Linked DNA regions of Oryctolagus cuniculus. The protein of the gene in region 1 purifies or fractionates together with the protein of each later gene. This does not show direct contact. Links are inferred from orthologs where the notes say so. Each region holds a gene or a part of one and is shown on either strand. Other genes may lie near its edges. The genes, in order: tubulin alpha-1A chain, BAG2, HAX1, DNAJB11 and TCP11L2.

The links.
Region 2: the proteins of tubulin alpha-1A chain (region 1) and BAG2 purify together in Homo sapiens (affinity purification with mass spectrometry; 4 studies listed by BioGRID and IntAct, with this or other methods). This does not show direct contact. The link is inferred for Oryctolagus cuniculus from reciprocal best matches to the Homo sapiens genes TUBA1A and BAG2.
Region 3: the proteins of tubulin alpha-1A chain (region 1) and HAX1 purify together in Homo sapiens (affinity purification with mass spectrometry; 3 studies listed by BioGRID and IntAct, with this or other methods). This does not show direct contact. The link is inferred for Oryctolagus cuniculus from reciprocal best matches to the Homo sapiens genes TUBA1A and HAX1.
Region 4: the proteins of tubulin alpha-1A chain (region 1) and DNAJB11 purify together in Homo sapiens (affinity purification with mass spectrometry; 3 studies listed by BioGRID and IntAct, counting the BioPlex papers as one, with this or other methods). This does not show direct contact. The link is inferred for Oryctolagus cuniculus from reciprocal best matches to the Homo sapiens genes TUBA1A and DNAJB11.
Region 5: the proteins of tubulin alpha-1A chain (region 1) and TCP11L2 purify together in Homo sapiens (affinity purification with mass spectrometry; 3 studies listed by BioGRID and IntAct, counting the BioPlex papers as one, with this or other methods). This does not show direct contact. The link is inferred for Oryctolagus cuniculus from reciprocal best matches to the Homo sapiens genes TUBA1A and TCP11L2.

What each region holds. Positions count from the first base shown.
Region 1 is NC_091442.1:52,629,012-52,633,341, forward strand, and holds the start of tubulin alpha-1A chain, read right to left. Parts: upstream 2,824-4,330; 5' UTR 2,597-2,823; coding exon 2,594-2,596; intron 2,056-2,593; exon of another isoform or gene 1,949-2,055; intron 855-1,948; coding exon 632-854; intron 492-631; coding exon 343-491; intron 36-342; coding exon 1-35. UniProt on the Homo sapiens protein: Tubulin is the major constituent of microtubules, a cylinder consisting of laterally associated linear protofilaments composed of alpha- and beta-tubulin heterodimers.
Region 2 is NC_091436.1:112,404,855-112,409,137, forward strand, and holds the start of BAG2 (BAG family molecular chaperone regulator 2), read right to left. Parts: upstream 2,849-4,283; 5' UTR 2,687-2,848; coding exon 2,574-2,686; intron 1-2,573. UniProt on the Homo sapiens protein: Co-chaperone for HSP70 and HSC70 chaperone proteins. Acts as a nucleotide-exchange factor (NEF) promoting the release of ADP from the HSP70 and HSC70 proteins thereby triggering client/substrate protein release.
Region 3 is NC_091438.1:44,123,477-44,127,615, forward strand, and holds HAX1 (HCLS1-associated protein X-1), read right to left. Parts: upstream 2,838-4,139; 5' UTR 2,744-2,837; coding exon 2,691-2,743; intron 2,168-2,690; exon of another isoform or gene 2,130-2,167; coding exon 1,873-2,129; intron 1,726-1,872; coding exon 1,538-1,725; intron 1,159-1,537; coding exon 1,107-1,158; intron 982-1,106; coding exon 875-981; intron 746-874; coding exon 655-745; intron 516-654; coding exon 430-515; 3' UTR 263-429; downstream 1-262. UniProt on the Homo sapiens protein: Recruits the Arp2/3 complex to the cell cortex and regulates reorganization of the cortical actin cytoskeleton via its interaction with KCNC3 and the Arp2/3 complex. Slows down the rate of inactivation of KCNC3 channels. Promotes GNA13-mediated cell migration.
Region 4 is NC_091435.1:96,300,462-96,304,010, reverse strand, and holds part of DNAJB11 (dnaJ homolog subfamily B member 11), read right to left. Parts: intron 1,605-3,549; coding exon 1,462-1,604; intron 973-1,461; coding exon 890-972; intron 284-889; coding exon 226-283; intron 1-225. UniProt on the Homo sapiens protein: As a co-chaperone for HSPA5 it is required for proper folding, trafficking or degradation of proteins.
Region 5 is NC_091442.1:108,928,866-108,932,414, reverse strand, and holds part of TCP11L2 (T-complex protein 11-like protein 2), read right to left. Parts: intron 3,415-3,549; coding exon 3,278-3,414; intron 1-3,277. UniProt on the Homo sapiens protein: Promotes the migration of muscle-derived satellite cells (MDSCs) during differentiation throught interaction with FMNL2 and therefore may participate in microfilament assembly.

The DNA.
Region 1 (4,330 bases):
ACCAAGAAGCCCTGCAGGCCCGTGCACTGGTCAGCCTGTTTAAAAGAGAGGAATAGAAAAGATTAAGTCTTTGTTGTCTGTGATACAATCATAGTAAATAGTCTCACTTTTCGTACATCTCTAAGAATTTAGATCTTACTTTAACAAATGCTTTTTAAAAAGCGAAGACCTTGGAATTACTCAACATTTCTTCATTTAAAAATTCTCAGTATTTACAAAATGATATCAGATAGTTCATGTTTTAATTGAATTTTTAAAAACCTTTTTTCAATTTCAATTCTGTTTCAACCAAACAGCATCCCTTAACTTACTAATGTACTTTATTGTTGAGAGGAAACATACCAGCTTGCGAATTCGGTCCAGGACGAGGTCAATGATCTCCTTGCCAATGGTGTAGTGCCCGCGGGCATAGTTATTGGCAGCATCTTCCTTGCCTGTGATGAGCTGCTCGGGGTGGAAGAGCTGGCGGTAGGTGCCGGTGCGAACTTCATCTGGAAGAGGGAAGCAGACCAGCCACCTGTCACTGACAGCCTGCAGGGCCCCGGGGTGCCAGTGGCTCCCCCCTCACAGAATTGTCCCAGACCTGTCCCAGCACCCGGGGCTCTCACTGAGGCCACGGAGGCCAACTCACCAATGACCGTAGGCTCCAGGTCTACAAACACGGCCCTGGGCACGTGCTTGCCAGCGCCCGTCTCACTGAAGAAGGTGTTGAAGGAGTCGTCTCCTCCCCCAATGGTCTTGTCACTTGGCATCTGGCCATCGGGCTGGATGCCGTGTTCCAGGCAGTAGAGCTCCCAGCAGGCATTGCCGATCTGGACACCAGCCTGGCCGACGTGGATGGAGATGCACTCACGCTGTGTGAGGGAAAGAGAAAAATATATATAAATTATTTTGTATTAGCATTTTGAATTTTCAGCAAATTTCTAAAAGTATTTCTAGTAATTAGATCTTCCTCAAATTTATTTGCAGTTTTATCCCTAATATGATAGAAACGATGAAAGAAAAGCACCTGCTACAAATACTGCAGATGGGTGTGGTCTGAATAATAATGTCGCCTTGGCACAGTTTAGCACATGGTGCAAGCCCATTGTTCACAGAGCCATGCTTGAATGGAAGATTTTTTTATGGCTTCAAAGCACAGATTTTGTAAAATGAAGTAAATTAAATTCAATCCAATCATGGATTGGAATTCATTTTACTGCTTTTTTCCCCCTTTAACTGGAGATTAGTTTCTTCTGCAGAGGACTTAGGATTCCAAGAGGCATCTGTACTGCAGCTGCAAGCCACACCCTTCTGCAGTCTGCCTGCAGGATCCATCAATACTAGGAGTTATTAGAAGCTAGACAAAAGTCTGCCTCTGCATTGCTGCACTGCCGTTATTTGCTGTGCCTGGCGCTAGCCTGTACTGTCTGCTACATTATTTAACAGAGCAAGCTCTATTTCCAGCAACTGCCTATATGATCTCATTGTGCTGTTTTGCTAGTTCTTCCCCTGACCCAGCCTGGGACCATGCTCCTGAATCGAAATGAATTAATGAAGACACCCTAGAACAAAAGACGGCTGGAGAGCAGAATGTAATTCTTTGTCTGCAGCAATTGTGTTACTTTAAGTTTTTACAGAATCGCCTCCACTGTAAAAAACTGAAAAATTGTTAGTATTTTTGAAACAACAGTTTGCGAGTTAGGAAGAAATGTTATATGAGAAGCTAGCAAAGAACAAAAGCCCAGTGAAAGGACAGTGAAATATGTATTTAAAGCAACAAAAAAGTGTTTTCTTTCTGAAATTCTTTACCCACCACATAAAATTCTTACTCCTCATCCCACAGAGATTGTCACTTTTAGGGCTGCAATTTTCATTGTCTGCTCCCTGGGGCGGGGGCGGGGCAGGCGTTCCCGACCGCAGCCCAGCAGGCACCCAGGGCGGACCCTGCGCCCCCCCACAGCCCGGCCCCGCAGCCCTCAAGGGCGTGGCCACGCTGGACCAGACTTTAAAGGGCTTGTGAATTGGGATTCTGGGCCTCGAGAAAACAATTTTTTTTCATCTGAGCTTTAGCAGGTAATGAAAACCCTTTTGAAGTCTTCAGTTCCGCGGTGATGCAAGGCTTTTATTCAAGGCTTCCCCGTGACCGCGGAGGCTGAGCGAGGGCGAACCCGGTCCGGCGGCTCCAACACCGGGGAAGCCAGAAACAAACAACCCCGCCCCTGCGCCGCCCCGGCCCCAGCCGCTAGTAGACGGCTGTCTCTCTAGAACGCAAGGGTCTTGCGCCAACCCGAGGCTTCCCTCGGTTCCCGTCCTCCTCTCCGCGCCCAGCTACACCCAGCGCCCCCGGGCTGCAGGTCCCCGGGGAGCCCCACGAGCGCGGAGCGCACGCCCCGCCCGGCTGCGGACCCTCCCGCCCCGCCGGAGGGGCAGCTGCGGCCCCGGGGAGTCCTCGGCGACAAACACTCCCTGGCGTCGCCTTTGTTCGTCCCGGCCGGGCCCTGGCTCCGCACTGCGGCAGCGGCAGGGCGTAGGGACCGAAAGCAAACAAAGCCACCCTGGACAAAAAAGGCTACAAAGGGCTCCCCGGGCCGCCTGGGGGGCCGGCGCTTACCATGGTTGCTGCTGCGCGCGGAGGCCGAGAGGGAGGCTGCTGCTTCTTACAGCGCGACTCTTAGGCGGTCGATGTAAGAGAACCTGCGGCTCGGGCGGTGGCGGCCGCCTATATACAGCCCGGTCGCCATGGGGATGGGCCGGGGCCTCTTCCTGTTGGTCCAGACCCCTCTCTCTGCCCGGAGAAGCCGCGGCAGAAGAGTGCTGATTGGTGCAGGCGACATGGGATGAGGTAATCGCTCCCCCACCCGTTTTCCCCCAGTATCCATAGACTGCATCCTTCAGACAAAGAGACCGAGCCAAAGCCGGCAGCCCAGCATCCATTACGGGGTGGGGCTCTCGGGAGGGGCGGAAGGGAAGAAAGAGGACTGCGGCTAGATCATTTTCTATCGCTTCAGTCTCAACCTGCAGCTAAAATCACCTAGGTACGGTTTCAATCGTAGCATTTGTGTTGAGATGGAATCTTCGTGAAGAATCGCCCCCTGACAGTACACTAAGCTACATTTGGTTACGAACCAGCATCTCGAATTGCTTTAAAAATAAAGTGGGAAAGACGGGAGCGATACTCAAAATGGTTTGAGTAAATATGCTTTCCCTTTCTCTCTTATTTTAATTAGAAAAGGACCCGGTAATACAGTCATCCAAAAAAAAAAAAAAAAGGCTCTGCAGGTTCAATTAATGTATTTTCATATCTTCTTTTGGGCACAGACACCCAAATAGCTCAACAAAATGGGTGATGGGAGGCATAGCCATACCGCATAAAAGAACACAAAAGGTTCTAGCATTGCAGTCGGTGAGAGCTAATGGACACATGAGGGTTAGCTGATGAGAGATACTCATTTGCCAAAAGACTCTGTAATATATTTTGTGAGATGTAGAAATGAATCATCGTTCCCAATACAGAATTGGGAAAACACAAGGAGAAAGAATTGACTGCAGAAACCGGTATCCCTTGTGTGTGCAATTATATTTCTGCATTGCTCGCCTTTTGGGAAAGTTACAAACAAAAAAGAGTAACCAAAACACTAAATTAAAAAGAAGACAAGAAAGATGTAGGATGCAAAAAGAGGACCACTTTGTATTGTTGCCTCCATCTGCAGGCAACTCTGCAGTCTCAGTTCAACCGCAGTCCATTTTTATATAGTGCTTATAAGAATGGGGTCCACACCCTCCTAACTGTGGGAACCTTAGCCGGCCTCACACCGCTGCTATTCAGCTGGAGACTGGTGGCTGCCCAGAGGCCTCTTGGGGACAAAAAAGGCTTTGCTTTCCCCCCTAGGAAATGGTTTGCTGCTCGGAACGGCTCCATTCTCATCAAGGATGGGCTATGCAAAATAGGTCTCCGGGCTGTGCACCTCTTGCCATTGTGGATGACATTTCAGAGGTAAAGAGATTTGTTTGACTATCAAAAATAGAAATTTCTGTTTTTCCTTTCAATTTCCAGCAACTGATTTTCGGGGGCTGCATTACTACAGCGCCCTGTGGAGCCCAGTCACTGCTGCGGGCTGGTGGGCAGAGCAGGGCGTGGGCAGCACTGCAGGTTGTGGGATGACAATGGCGGCTGTGGGACTGCGCTAGCCACACCTCTGCTTTGCTTGCACAGATTTGCTGCAGTAAGTTCTCTAGAAAAAAATGAAGCCTAACACACAAGCCATTTTATCTACTGCTTGCATATTTCATTGTAAAAGTAGTCAACATCACCTTGTTGCAATCCTTTTAGCCAATAAAATATATTTCA
Region 2 (4,283 bases), on another chromosome or scaffold:
CCTTGCGAGCCAGACTTCCTGTGTTCAGATTTAAAGCACACTACTCTCTGGTGGTATGACCTTGGATGAGTCTTTAGTTTCTAAGCCTCAGTTTCTCATCTGTAGAGTGCAGATTACAGTAATTTCCACACAGATATGGAGCCTGACATGTAAGCTGTATTATTTATAAATGATAAATGTCTAAAAAGATAATTAGCAGAGTAGCTTGAGCTATTGACAAATGTAAAATTATATTCCATTCAGAAATCATGAAAACCAGGAGAGAAAGGAACTGCCTCTTTGGGGACGCAATCTGGAGACAAAATGCAGTCAAAAAAGCAAGGCTTGTGTAACAATCAAGTATCAGAAACAAACTGAAGAAGACTGCCAAACATTTTACAGCATTTTAAGCATCAGGAAGGCCAAATATTCCAGGTCATCAAGCACTGGGTATAATCCTGTTTTTGGTTTCAGAGGGAAGAAGTTTCCTTCCCAAACATCAAACTAGCATTAGAGAACAGTACATGCATACTTCTAAGTACAAGCTAAAATGCCTCACTCTACTAACATAACTACTTTATTAGTGTTACTTAATATGACCTCAAACGATGAGAATAAATTATATATGAATTTCATGTTTGAAAACTCGACCTCCCTCTAGGCACGATTCTAGTTTTCACTGGTACAATGCTCTGCACATTGCCTGCATGGTATCATCCAAACTTCAGTTAGGATCAGCAGTAGCATTTTTCTCTATTTTTGCGAACCTTCTGAAACACTTGTTTAGTTTTCAGTATTACTCTTTTTAAAAGGAAGAAACAAAACTCTAGAATTATTCGAGAAGCCCTTGAAATGAACAATTAACACACATATTAATCAGACTTTCCTCCTTCAGCCCAAGTGGTAATTAAGCAACTTGTAATTTAATCACTTATGTGCAGTAATCAGAATTCATTTGACATTCACCAAATATCAGAAATACAGTAATACCCCAAATCAGAGGCCTTGTTTTAGAAGAGGAGCACTTGACTGCTTTTGTGCCTACCACATGTGAGGACAATGACTCAGCTTGTCATTGGAAGGAAGGAAGGAAGGAAGGAGGGGGAACATGCTCCTCATTCCTATAAGAGAAAACCTGTTCTCTCTGACTGGGGGAGAGAGGCTAGTAGAGAACGCCTGGAGAGAAGTCTAAGGTACTTACTAAGCTGCTACACAAAAGAAATCCCATTCCTTAGAGGGGCTTGGAGTAGCTGAGGCCACTGTAGTTTCACTCCACTTTCTCTGGGTGTTGAACCCAGGTTTGCTGATTCTGTGGCAATCCATAAGGAAGCATTGCTTCTCTCTTCAACTTGTCGCACCCTAAGTGAACCCCAGTACCTGGCTTAGGGCCCAGGTGGCTCTGTTGCCATCCCTGGAATTGTGAGTGGAGAATTTCACACTTTCTGGCGATTTCCTCCCAGTAGTAATAGCGAATCTTTTTTTACTAGCAGACACTGTGGTTACTGGTATCTTTTCTGGGCAAACAGACACTTCTTCATGTTTTGCTATATTAATGGAGGGAGAGAAGGACACACAATACAGCACTGTTTACACTTTGGGGCTTCCACACTCCTTTGCGCCTTCAGAGCTTGGCAGAAACTACTGAACCAAATCCTATGTACAGTGTCAGGGGGCTATGCGTGTCTCAAGATTTTCACCTAACTATACCTGCACACAACCACAACGCAGACACTAACTTCAGACACAAATGTTCATAGATAGTACATATACGTTTTTATACACTGTTAAAGGAAAAAGCCATTTCCAAAACTTATTACTACTTAGACATTCTATACAAGCCTATCACTATCTTACTTACTTAAAACTGTCATCAAGGGAAAAAGGAAAAACTGTTGACTATCTTTTCATGCTTTCGGGCCAGTGACTAGCACTTTTAAGGTCTCAGCAGCATCTTTTATGTAAGGTAATAAATATTAAGAAAATAAATACTGGAACACAGTATGTGGGCTTAGGAGAGCAAAGGCAGCCATAATGTCTTTAATCCACGAGGTACAGGACCCAGTTACTGTTCCTCCTACAGCCCCTCCCTTGGCCTACTGCTCTACAATTTTTGCTCTTAGATGCATTCCTGGGGTCCCCCCCCTTTCTGCTCTGAAGTGCTTTGGAACAAGAAAACTTCACGGGGGGTGGGGTGGGGTGGGGAGAACACTTTAATCTTTTTCCCTTAACTCGCAACCTTGGGGGGGGGGGGCTTAAAGATCTTTGGGACCCCAGAGAAGGTTCTGGAAATAATCTCCATTACCATCACCCTAACTTTTATCTTCTCTGGGTATTCGCTAAAACACACAGGTGTGTTCACGTGTCCATCAATAACGTGCTCACAGGTTAGCTGGGACGGAACGCGTTTTCTCTCAGCGAGGAGAGGAAAACCTGCCAGGACACAAAACCGCACCGCCTCCATCCACACCACCCCAACAAGCAACTTCTCTCGCCGCCGCTTGCCCCAGGCGGGGCCTCCGCCCGCCGGCCGCCCACGCGGCGAGCAGGACGCCCGAGCCCGCCGCGTGCCCCTCGCCGGCCCGCCGGCCGCTCACCTGAGCTCGAGCTGGTCCAGACTCTCCAGCAGGCGGCTGGAGCGGTCGGCCATGGAGGAGGAGCGGCAGAAGCGCCCCTCGTTGGCTTTGGCGTTAATCTTCGCCTGAGCCATCTGAGCCTCTGAGGCGGGGCGGCCGAGAGGTCACCGGCCTCTCCCGCGGTGGCGAGTGGAGCGCTCCCGGGCCGCAGGCGTCGCCGTCACCGCGCGGGGCGCCCGCCTCTCTCTGACGCCCGCGGGGGCGGCTCGCGAGGACGCGCCGACTCCGCCGCGGCTGCGTGGCCAAAGAAGGGCAGGCGCGGCGCGCGCGGGCTGGGGGTGGCGGGGCCTGGAGGGGGCTAGCTGGCCGCAAAAGCTCGAGGGTGGGCCTCAGGAGCTAAGGCCTCCGAGACTCTGGGATGGGAGGACCCAAAAAGGGGAGCACCTAACGTAGTCGGCTGCTCTCTGCTCCTGGAACAACCCGAAATCGGCGCGGAGACCCAGCGAACACCCAAGCCCCGACTCTTGGTGCAGCATAAAAGTAGCCAACTCCCCCTATGCGGAGTTACCATACCACACGGTGGGCAGGCTGTGGGTGCATGGCTCACCGATGGTTTCGTTTACTTCCTTTCAGCACCCAGAATTCAAAGCAAGAACGAAAAAACATTCAGGTTTCTGCCGACAGGGAGAAAAGGTCCCTTTGCAAAGCAGAAGACATAGAAGGACACCGCCTCCTCGGCAGTCTGTACTTGACCAAGTCACTTTTCTGAGAATAACAGCCTGGACCACACTGACGCTACTGAGAAAGAATGAAGCAGCTATCCCGTCTTTGCCTGTCTAGCTCCAGATGCGAAGCAAAGTGAATTTAATTCCCACACATTCCAAGAAAGGGAATTTCACTTTTATGCCTACAAAAATTTTTTCTGGTATTTTAAATAGTTGGTAATGGTCACTTCACACCCAACGTATTAAATCTGTTAACGACAACAACAAAAATCCAGTAAATATCAGTAAAAGATGGAGCAGGGCCGCTGTATTTAAAATATTGTGCTTTGCTCCGCTCTCAGGATAGCTCACGTTACAAGAATGTTCGTATTGCAAGTATGAAAACTGAAGGCATGGAAATGGTAATAACAGCTTTGAAGCTGAATCACAACCTTTCATCAGTGACCATCACCACTTAAATACTTTAGCAGAGAGGGAACTCTTAAGCCTGGATCCCAATTCCATCTGTACTCATTCTAAATACTAGTAAGCTTTTGGTATAGGGTGTTATTTGACCGATCTCATTAAACATATTTTTGCCAAACATTAAACTCGATATCCCAACACATTTTGTGAATGGCTTGATGTCTCTCAAGAGACTTTAGATTCACCTTGGACTTTCTCTCATGTCCTAGATCCAGTCCATCAGTAATCACATGAATGCTACCTTCACAGTATGTCCAAGATTCTTCCCTCAGCTCCATTTCCACTAGGTCCACGTAACCTGGTCAACTTGCACCTGGATCATTGAGCGTCCCTCTTTGGTTCATACTTCCACTCTTGCTTCTCATGTGTATTCTCAACTGCAATAATCCTAATTAAGGTGGATGACAGCACTTACTCTCAGAAACCTTCAGTAGATCCTCAGATCAGCATAAAAGCCAAGGTCCTTAGAAAAGCCTCAAAGTTGATCATTACTCTCCTAGCCCATGCTGCTTCAGACCTACTAGCCTTCTTGCTTTTCCCT
Region 3 (4,139 bases), on another chromosome or scaffold:
AGCAGCTACCCCGGGTACACACATCCCCCACCCCCTTTTTTTTTTGGAATCTGATGCATCCTTTTTAAAGGAATGTTCCTGAAATTATGTCATCTCGTACGAAGATGATTTTCTGCTGGTATCTGATCCTTCCTTATCAAATCAGGTTTTGGAAATGGGGAAAAAAAATCAAATAAGGAGAAGGCTGTGAGTCAAGATAATCTGAGAAGCTCTGCATGGTTCCGGGAAATAAAACAGCCTTGACAAAACCAAGAACAAGAAATTAGCATAAATAGAGGTTTTATTGGTCAGTCTGGGCAGGTGACACACTGACCTGCCCCAGCCTCCTGGTGCACACACCCAAGCCCCTGAAGTGGGCAGGAGAAGCAGCCCAGTTCGCTGATGGTGGGCAGTGCAGGGGGACCTGGAGACCCCTGAGGGGTAACAAGGCTACCGGGACCGGGACCAACGTCCTAGGAACAAATCCAGGATGGAAAAGGCATCATCCAGGGATGGAGACCTCGGTAATTCTGGATCTAAGGGAAAAAAATCATACAGTAAGCCACTGAAGAGCCTGGACGGGGCAAGGGGAGAGAATACGAAAGACCACAGAGAATGCGTCCCTTCCGCAGGCAGTGACACGGCGGACCCCCTTGAACCGTGCCCCTAACTCACCGCCTCTCGGACTGCCGTCTGCCTCCTGCCGGGTCACCGTGGTCTCCGAGCGGCCCTCACTGTCCACCACAGTCCGGCGTTCCTCCACGGCCTGCAGGGAGAAGCCCCCGCCATGTTGCCAACATCACTAAGGGCGAGTCAGCGGTCTCTTTTGACAGAGCCCTCTTTCCAGGGCATTCGCTGGCTGGCTTCCTTTCACTCCCCTCTCTCACTCACTCACCCCGTCTGGCTTAGTGATCTTGGTCACAGAGATACTCTTGAAATAGGATTTGGGCTGAGGCTGCAGAACTGGGCCAAGACCCTCCTGGGAAACCTGGGAATCAAGATCTGGAAAGGCACCGAGATTAAGAACCAGGAGACAGAGTCCAAGGGGAAGAAAGAGGACCAGTGTGGCAGGGCAGATCTGCAGCGGGGGACGGGGGACGGAACACGCGCCCTCTCTCCAGACTCACCGTTGTCCTCTCTGGCCCGGGGATGGGGAGTCACAGGCCACACATCATCAAACTGCAGAAGAAGCCACACAGATGAAGAGACACCTTCCGAAGCGAAAGCCTCAAACTACTCCTAAGTCCTGACCCCCCCACCCCCGCCCCCAGGAGGAGCACCTGCGGTCCCGACAACTCTACCTACTGCTCCACGGCCTTCTACCAAGAAAGCTTCCCAGGACAAGCACTCATCTAAACCGGTGGATTTTTTTTTTTCTTTTTTAAAGAAACAGAACTCCCATTCCCCTCCCTCCCTCCAATGAGATCCTACAAGAAACGTAAAATCAGCAGAGTTAAGTGGAAGGCCTGGACTTCCAACTCAAATGTATAGGATTCCGAGGAGGATCCTGGTCTCTGTGCTGTTAGTGGCTTCAGGCTCACACGGGGTGGGTACTCACCCTGTGGAAAGGCCTCTGGGAGCCCCAGTCTGCTGCTGGTTTGGAAGACTCAGTTCCTGCATCACTCTCCACGGCCCCCCCAAAGATCCTGGGCTGGTGGCTATCTGGGTACTTAAGCATTGAGTCTCGAAGCGTCTGTCCCCGCCGTGGTCTCTCACCAGCCGGCTCTGACTCGGGACCTGGAAGCTCTGCAGAAAGGGTGCAGGTGGGAAAGAGCCTGGGCTCTTTAAGCTCCCTGAAATCATCAGCCTTCTCGCATTTCCCACTCCCTGCAAGCTCACTCACCCACCAGCCCCCTAGAAACCACGGGTTCTCCCTCCGGGAAGTCCACACACCGGGAGCATGGGAAGGCAAGGTCCAGGCCCCCATCTCGCTGAAGATGCTATTGAAATCCCGGACTAGGTCATCAAAGCCGAAGTTATCATGGAAACGCATCCCTCCTCCCGGACTGAAGTTGAAGCTGAATCCAAATTCCTCCGGGGGTTGGGAACCAGGAAACCTGGAGCTCCCATGGCCCCATGTGGCTTCTTCCTCTTCTTCATCATCCTCATCTTCATCTCGAGTCATCCCTCCAAAGAAGGGATCTCTGTGGCTGAAGGCGGAGGCAGATCGGCCACCAAGATTTCAGCACTGTTTTAAGCCATGAAATCAAAGTACCAAAGTACGCAAAAGCGGGGTCTAGGAAGCTGGGGGGGGGGGGGGGGGGAGGCGGGGCCACTGGAAAGCAAGTTGTCAGGTCCAAATCTATCAGCGGACAGCTCTGGCTTTTCTTCCTGTTTTCATCCGTCGGTCCTGACTTTGCAACTCCCCTCAGGGCATCTTTCCCCCGTGCCTCCTCAGCGCCCCCCAGCCCCTCCCCTCTCCCCAGGACCTGGCTCACTTCCTCTTCCCCAAGCCCCCATTGTCTTCCCCGCCCAGGTCCCTGTTGCATCACCCTAGGTAGGAGAGACTTAGGTTACTGTTTCTCCGCCTCTTAACGACCGCCCTGATTACTGTCCCGGGGTGAGTGCTCAAGGTTGCGACCTCCTGCGCTCCGCAGAAGTTGCAGGGTGGGGAAAGGTTGTTTTTCTTTTTTCTTTCCAAGAAATAGGGTGACGGGGTCAAGCAGCCCCGAGAAGAGCCTCTCCCTTCTCTGACCCGGACCTACTCTCACCTCCGAGGTGCAGAAAAGCCGAAAAAGCCCCGGAAGAGGTCAAAGAGGCTCATTCCCGTGTTGGGACTTGAACCTTTGAACCCCCTCCCCCCCACGTAGCCCAGGAGGGGGCCTGCGCGACGGTGTCGGAAACCGAGCGGAGCGTCCGTCCACGCTACCGGAAAGCAAACCCGCGATCCGGACGAATTGTCGTAAAACGTCTGTAAGCCGGATGTGGGCGGGGAAGCGGGGCGGAGGGTTCTGAAACGTGAAAAGCTGTGTTCACCCAACCTTTTGGAGAGCGGTTTTCTGCAAGGGGAGCGGGCGCGGCGCATTTCCACTTCCCAGTGATCTCCGCCATCCTAAGTCGATTTTCCTTACTGTCGACCAACCCGATCCAACAGGGGTTTCGAGAGTTCGACTCTGATGGTCTCCCGGAAAAAGCCGCCAGAGGGCAGCCCGAGCGCGTAACGGACCGGCCCGAGACCCTTCCTCGCCCCGCCGCCCCACGCCCGAGGACGGCAGCGGTGGCCCACTGCCTGCAGACGCTGCCTGGGCTCCGTGGCGCCCTCCGCTTTGTCTCCACACTGATCTGGATGACGTCTGAGAGGACAAAATGCTTTACCATTCTCCAGGGTTGAGGAGAGACGGGGGCAAGGGAGCTTCCTCTCTCCAGCTACTGGTCCTAGGAGTTTGTCCTAACTATACAGGGTTCTTTGTTCTAAAGTTCTGCAGCCGGCAAGATAAAGGACTTGAAGTTTAAGAGCTAAGGGAAGGGAAGTTAGCGAAGAGCCCCGGAAAGGAAGTTTCCATGCCGTTGACTTTTGAAGGCGTCTCTCCAGGTGCTCTCGTGCCCACCGCGGGCCCCGCTCTGGACCTGCTGGTCTCAGGGGTGGGCACGGCCGCTGCGGCGGCTCCCGCGCTGGGCCAGGTCGTCCTCGGACTGGGCGCCGCCCTTCCTCCCCTGGGTCCGCCCCCCGGCCAGCCGCCTGCACCCCTCTCCCTTCGACGCAGCGGTTTCTGAGGAAATGGAGATCTGTGGTGGTTCTTTCCAGTCACCGGGTTGTGAGATTCTTAGGGGGCAAGATACTAGCACATTAAGGTCAGAGTTCTTAAAGGGCGAAGATATTTTATTCCACTGCCTTCGGGGCCCGCCAGAGGCGGCCCAGTTGGTACAGTAATACTTATTCACCAAGCTGGTCACCGGCGAGACTGAGGATGTCCTAGACGGAGCAAGAATGGGCAGAGGCTGAAGGTAGAGGTTTTCTTTTTATATATACAAGACACATTAATCCATTAAATTCGAGGACACAGTACAAAAAAAAAAAAAAAAACACTTCAACTAATTTCATCTGACAATGCTGTTCATATTCATGACGCCATTTTGTTGTTGTTTTGTTTTCCTAATAATAAAGGAGGAGACTTAGGGCTGTTGGGCTGATATATATTTGGGGGCCCCCCTCCCCACTT
Region 4 (3,549 bases), on another chromosome or scaffold:
AGTCCTTACTTGTTCTATCAATTTTTTTCCTTAAGACATCTTTTGGACTTGTAAGTCCTAAGTAAATAATAAAGGGGGCTCAATCCTGGGGTCCAACCCCACATTTTCAGTACTGTTCAAGAGTTACAAAGACTAGTTCAGGGCACGGAACAGAGAAGAACACTGGATGCTCTGATGCCTGCGGAAAGCAGGGGCTAGAGAAGCCTCTGGAACTAGGTCACTTACTTGACAACCTTGATTCGGAACCGTAAGTCTCCAGGCTCCCCGTCCACATGAGGCTCGCCTAGTCAGAACAGATGACAGCATACCGTAAGTCACACAAGTCGAATACCACAAATCTATTTGGCAGCTGAGAGAATTCTTTTAAGCCACCACCTTGGCATTGATTCTGTCAAGTTTATCTGTGAAGGAAGTGTCTCTGCCTGGTTACAGCGTTTCAGATTACTAGTGAAGATAAGATCACTTTGTGCCTCAGGCATGGTAATAAATAACTTGACCTATTTCTCAAACAAAGAATGATTCATTGATGCCCTGAACCTGAAGTCTGAAAGCTTTTATCCTTTTAGAGTTTTAAATTTGAGCCCAAAGGTACAGTCTGGCAGCGAATCTTCTTTCACTGTCAAGTTAAAATTAATCCATAAAGGTCTGGACACTTTAAATTCTGGTGAAATTGAGGCCACCTGATAGTAACTTTTGGGCATGATATTTGAAGGACAAATAGTAATGACACCGCCTCAGGTGACTAACCGTGATGGTCAGAAAAGATTCTCCATGTGTGGTGAATTTTATATGCATTCACTACGAGGCCATTAGGATATGGGGTGAGACAAATATTCGTAAGTGGAGAGCAGAAAGTTATGATCATAAAACATCAGTATCAATATCCCACCTTCTCCAATAAAGGGGTACTCCATGCCATCTCTCACTCCAGGTTCTATTTCTACTTCCAGAGTTCGTTCTTCATTCACTAGTCTAAGACAAAGAGAATTTAAGAAGAAAAACAAAATGAAGATACAAATGAAAACCCAAGATACAGATAATTAAAGTGTTATCTATGTTATCAGGACTTTTTCTTGGAAGACTACAGTGTACCTCTCCTCTGCAAAGACCTCTGAAATCCACTTACACCTTCTAAATGTCCAAACTTAGGGCAGAACTACTATATAGTACACAAACACATAAGACTGCTCTGCTATGCAAGCAGGAAGAAAATGAAACCTCAGCACTTGGTAAGTCTACTCAGACATAGACAGCACTGCTTACTGTTTCAGAAACATTAAAGATACGCATATTCTGAAGAAACACTTCTGGAAAAAGTTAAAATGTCCATTCCTGCTCTATCCTTCGGTAGAACATGGTAAGGGGAGGGAGGAAGAGCTGGGGATGGACCACTGACGCCTCATTAGACAAAAGCGATTACTCGAGTGTTTCTTGGCGGAACCAAGAAGATGCTTCACTTACTTGACGTTAGGGCACTCATCGCAGACCACCTCCTGGGTCATCTGGAAGCGCCCTGGGCCCAGCTGGGTGGTCCGCATCTCTTGCCGACAGTTGCACTTCCGTTTGCCGGGAGCCTGCCTTGCCACAGGTTTGTTTCTAACTACCTAAGAAGTGCATAAACAACATCAGCTTCACTGTCTTTGGGGACCTCAGCCAACCAGGGCTCTGGCCACTGGCTGGACCTGGAGCTGCCCCTTCCCAGACAAGCCATCCCTCAGAGAGACCAAGAGCTCACAGGACTCCCTGGGGAGCACAAACAGGAATGAGGCAAACACATATTTAAATGACTCAAATTCTGAAGTTTGAGAGGTAAAGAGAGAGCGGAGTAGGGAAGAAGAGACCCAGAGTAAGGTTTATAATGTCAGCACTTGTGAGCCCGACTGCGGTAGTTACAGAATTACATCTGCTGAAATCGAGGCCTTGTAAAGCACAACCCCTGAAGAACAACCACAGCCTTCAGGGCTGGTGTGCGGCTGCCGTCTGATCCCAATGAAGACAGCTCCTTGTTCTAGGTAACCCGACCCTGGCCTGTTTTCCAGTGCTATCTCCATTCAGATACCTTAACACATAGCAAACACATAGCTGCCATCTCTTTGTAGCTGACTGCAATCAAACACTCTGATCTCTCGAGGTGTGTGAAATTAATATAGGGGCTAATGCTGTGGCATAGTGGATAAAGCTGCCGCCTGCAGGGTTGGAATCCCATATGGGCACCAGTTTGAGTCCCGGCTGCTCCATTTCCCATCCAGCTCTCTGATATGGCCTGGGAAAGCAGTAGAAGATGGCCCAAGCCCTTGGGCCCCTGCACCTGCGTGGGAGACCCAGAAGCTCCTGGCTCCTGGCTCGGATGGGCCCAACTCCAGCCATTGCAGCCATTTAGGGGGTAAACCAGCAGATGGAAGACATCTTTCTCTCTCTCTGCCTCTCTATAACTCTGCCTTTCAAATAATAATTTTTTTAAAAAAAGATATATATGTGAAGAAGTACATCCCTGTTTTTGCCTGTTTAATTAGTCAAACACCTAATCACGAGGTGCACGCATACTCACGCAGCAGCATGACACCAATGCTTGGAGCAGTCCCTTAAGGATTACCAGTGTATGAAAGCCCGGGTCAGCAGAATAAAGCCTAACAATGATAGGAATTAGAGCAAATACTTTACAGCACTTATTACATACCAAGCAATGCTCTAAAAACTTTTACATATTCACCTAATCTTCACGGCAACCTTGTGAGGTAGGTACTGTTATCTCCATTTTACAGACCAGGTGGCAGGTCCAAGGTCACATAACTAATACATGGCAGGACCACAGTTCCAAACAAAGCAGACTACTTGCAAAGTCCATGCTTCTAATCATACCCTATCTCTTAAGGTAATCGTTTCTTAAAACATTTTTAAATAGTAAGGGCATTCACATTTTTCCCATGATTATATTACAAAGGGGGGGGGGGCATTCACTGTAAAAAGTAATATACATGGGTATTTTAAAAAGTCCAGGGAAAAATGGAACTAAAAGTTAAGTTTTTTGCTGAAAAAAAATTTTTAAATTCAAGCATAGCTTTTTTCATAATATAAATTCTCCATGAACTTTTTAAGACCTTTTGTATGGATGGATGGCTTTAAAATATTTTATACCAGAATACACTTATCTTTTCATACAATTTTTCAGGAACTTTTAATTTTTTTTCTTTGAGAAGCAGACAGAGAGACAAAGAGCTAGAGAAAGGGAGGAAGATGGTGATAGAGACAGAAGAGAGAGGTCCCATCCACTGGTTCACTCCCCACAGTGGCCAGAACTGGGCCAAGCTGAAGACAGGAGCGGCCTTTCATGTGGGTGGCAGGAACTACCTGAGCCATCACTGCTGCCTCCCAGAGTCTGCATCAGGAAGAAGCTGGAATTAGGCAAAGAGCTGGGGCTCCAACTCAGGTACTGCTTTATGGGACATGAGTGTCTTAACCACTAGGCCAAACATCCACCCCTCCACAACTTTCTGAACTATTTTTGTATTTTGTGTATTAACAAAAACTGAAGAACAGCAGGTTAGGAAA
Region 5 (3,549 bases), about 56 Mb from region 1:
ATTCAAGACAAGGGCACATTTTGAGAACATACGCACAGGCACAGGCACACAAAAGAAACCAACCACTTCAGTCTCACAAAAATGCTGTTAAGAATGCATTTGCTACAGTTCAGGTTTCACATTCTAATAGGGTCCTATTTCTCTTAATCCCTTTCCCTTGAGAGCTAAAAACCACAGAGTGCTTGAAGTCACAGAATTGTGGAAGGATCCTTAGAAGTCACTGAGCCTTTGGGCCTGCATTGTGGTACAGGAGGTTAAGCCTTTGCCTGCAACACTGGCATCTAATATGCATGCCATTTCAAGTCCTGCTGCTCCACTTCTGTTCCAGCTCCCTGCTAATGCACCTGGGAAAGCAGCAGAAGATGGCCCAAGCATTTGGGCCCCTGCCACCCACATGGGAGATCTGGACGGAGTTTCAGGCACCTAGCTTCAGCCTGGTCCAGCCCCAACCATTGCAGGCATTTGGCTAGTGAACTAGCAGATGGAATATCCCCCACAGGCAGATGCAATGTTGCTTGAGGTCAGACAGTGCTGCACACTGTGTAAATGCACACGCTGTGATGCAAAGGCCAACACGGGCCATCCAGGCTCTACTACTTGCTTGTAGGCCCCTAGGGTATGTGCCCGAACCTCCATTTCCTCATCTATAAATAGGGGGTGATAATACTACCAACCTCTCAGGGCTACTGTGAGGCCTAAATGAAGTAATAATGTTAACTGTTTGGCACACAGTAAGGACTTGGCAAGTAACAAATGCTCAGATACGTTAGCTAGCACTAGCAACATAGAGGCCCATTCCAGTACTAGCAACATAGAGGCAACACAGAGGCCCATTCCAAAGTTTAAAGAGCTCCAACTGTTAAGAAGGTCAGGCTGGCTGGGGCTTCCTACCTATGGATCCTGGTCATCACCACAGAGCTTAACCAAAGTCTGCACTTCTGTCAATGGGTGGGGTGGTGCCTGGCCCACCTGAGTCTCCTTGGTACCAAGTGGAACGCGGCCGGCTTCAGCGACCATTCCTCGTGTGGCTCTCCACGCCCTCTCCCCTGGATGCTCTCCTGCCTGCCACAGCTCTGTCTGAAGTGGCACTTGGTTTGTTCACTATTTTGGCAGAAAAGTTCAGTCTATAGAGGGGTGGCAGAGGATCACGTAACTCTGTTCGGATGTGGTTAATGAATTGTGGTGCCAAGGCTCTGCCAGTGAGCCTCTTGCCGGCAATGCAACACCTGACACTTCAGTCCCCCACTGGGGATAACTGCACTTAGCTCACCGGGTAGTTGGTAACAGTGAGGTTATACTTCCTCTACTTCCGTTCTTCCCTGACCTCCCTCCAGTCTGGGTTCCAGGCCCACAAGTCCACTGAAACTGCTCTCCCATGGTTACCAACGGTCTTCACATGGTTACTATTGGATGGTCAAGCCTTAGCCTTCCTCCTTCCTCACCACCTGACAGCACCTACCACCCCCTCTCACATCCACCTGCTTCAAACATGTCTTCACTTGCCTTGTAGGACTCACTGACTCCTGACCTCCATACTCCTTCTCGGGCTACTCCTTCACAGTCCCCATTGCTGCATCCTCCTCCTCATCTCAACCTGCAGATGCTGGAGTGTCCCAGGCCAGTCCCCTTCAACATCTACACTCGCTGCCCAGGCTGTGTCACCCAGTATAATCCAGGGATAAATAAGGGCATGGACTGCAGGGCCAGCTGCCGAGCTCAGTCCCAACTCCATGTCTTACAATCTATGTTATGCAGGGAAGTAATTTAACCTCTTCCTGCCGACAGCTTCCTCATCCATAAAAGTGGGGGAGAAGACTTCCCATTGGTGGTGTAAGGGTTACATCAGTTAATGCATGTAAGGTGCCTAGCCCGTGATAAGCTATCTAGTTCCATGGCTTTATACAAGGGTACCTCAAAAAGCTGTGGGAAAATGAAATTAAAAGATAATTTTCATGAATTTTTAGAAGATCCCTTGTATACAACATATTGATGATTCCTAATTGTACACCCATAGTTCATCAATTCCTCTCCACTCCAGTTTCTTCTATATAAATGCCAATGTCCATCTCCACATTGATGTCAAGCCAGATCTGAAAGATCATATATCTGAAACTGACTTCTTATCCTCCATCATTTCCCATCCCCCTTGTCTCTCTCATCTCACTAAAATACACCACCATCCACCCAGTTGCCCAGACCAAGAACCTTAAACGTATTCCAAGCTCCTCTTTGTTCCCCCTTACTAAACACCAGCAAATCTACTCTTCCACCACTACCACCTAGGACATGTCATCACTATTTCCTGCCTGAGCAACTGCTCCCCTCTTTGCTCTCAACAATTTGTTATCTGCCCTGGTATGGTCACCTGGGACTGTTCCTAGAAATGCACTGTAAGGCACAAACCTCAGAAAATGTACTTATGCAAACTAAGATGGCTATGACATCACTGCATGATAATCTGCCAGGCTCTCCATCAGGTATGGGTCTGTTGGCTGAAATGTCATGCGGCTCATGACCGTATTTTCAAAAATTAATATCAGATGTCACTTCCCAACTTAGAACTCTCCAATAACTTTCCATCATACTTGGACTGAAATCTACTCCTCTGGTTATTATCAGGGGCCTAGGAGACCTGTCTCTGTCTGCCTCCCAGCCTCATCTCCCATCACTCTTCCCTTACCTACCCTGCTTCAGCCACAGTGTCTGTCTTGCATTTATCAAACTTCACAAGCAAGATTCTGCCTCAGGTCTTTGTACTTGTAGCTCCCTCTGGCTAGAATGTTCCTTCTCTCAGATTTTTCACACAATCTTTCTCACTGTTTTTGCAAACCTTGCTCAAGGGTTCCTTATTAAAGAGGCCTCCCCAGTGTATCTCATCAAGAAGTCACCCCTTAAATTCTTTCCTACGCTATTACTGTTGATGTCCTTATGCTGTTTTTCTTTACAGAACTTAATACGTTTGAAAATATGCTTGCTTATTAGTCATGCCTACTAGAATCTCAGCTCCTTGGGAATGCAACTTTATTCCATTTTGTTATCTACATTAACCGTACCACCTAAGCAGTTTCTGGAATATAGCAGGTGCTCAGTAAATATTTCTTGAATGAATGAAGAAGTCAATAGTACTAAGTACATACTTGGAACAGAGAAAACAACTGTAAATTTGTTATGTCATTTTATAAGGTCAAAAGATGTTTCACAGCAAGGTCAAAATTCTTTATCTAGGTATCATATTGACACCCAACTTCAATATAAATACACATTATAGTATACTCACTTGGAGTTTCTTCCAAAATTTCCTGGAACTTGGTTCTCTCATATTCCACCAACTGGCGTTGAAGGTGTGGTCTAAGGCTCCTAATTGTAAAATTGGCCATGTCCATTTTCATGAGGTCCAGGACATGAAATATTTGTCTATAAATTTTAGAATGAAAATAGAGAGGTGATTAAGGAGCTAAGCCAAAATTCATTAACTATTACCTAGGTTACAGGCTGGAAAAGGGAAACATCCCCCAAACTCCAATTGCCATTTGGCAAGGTCACTCAGCA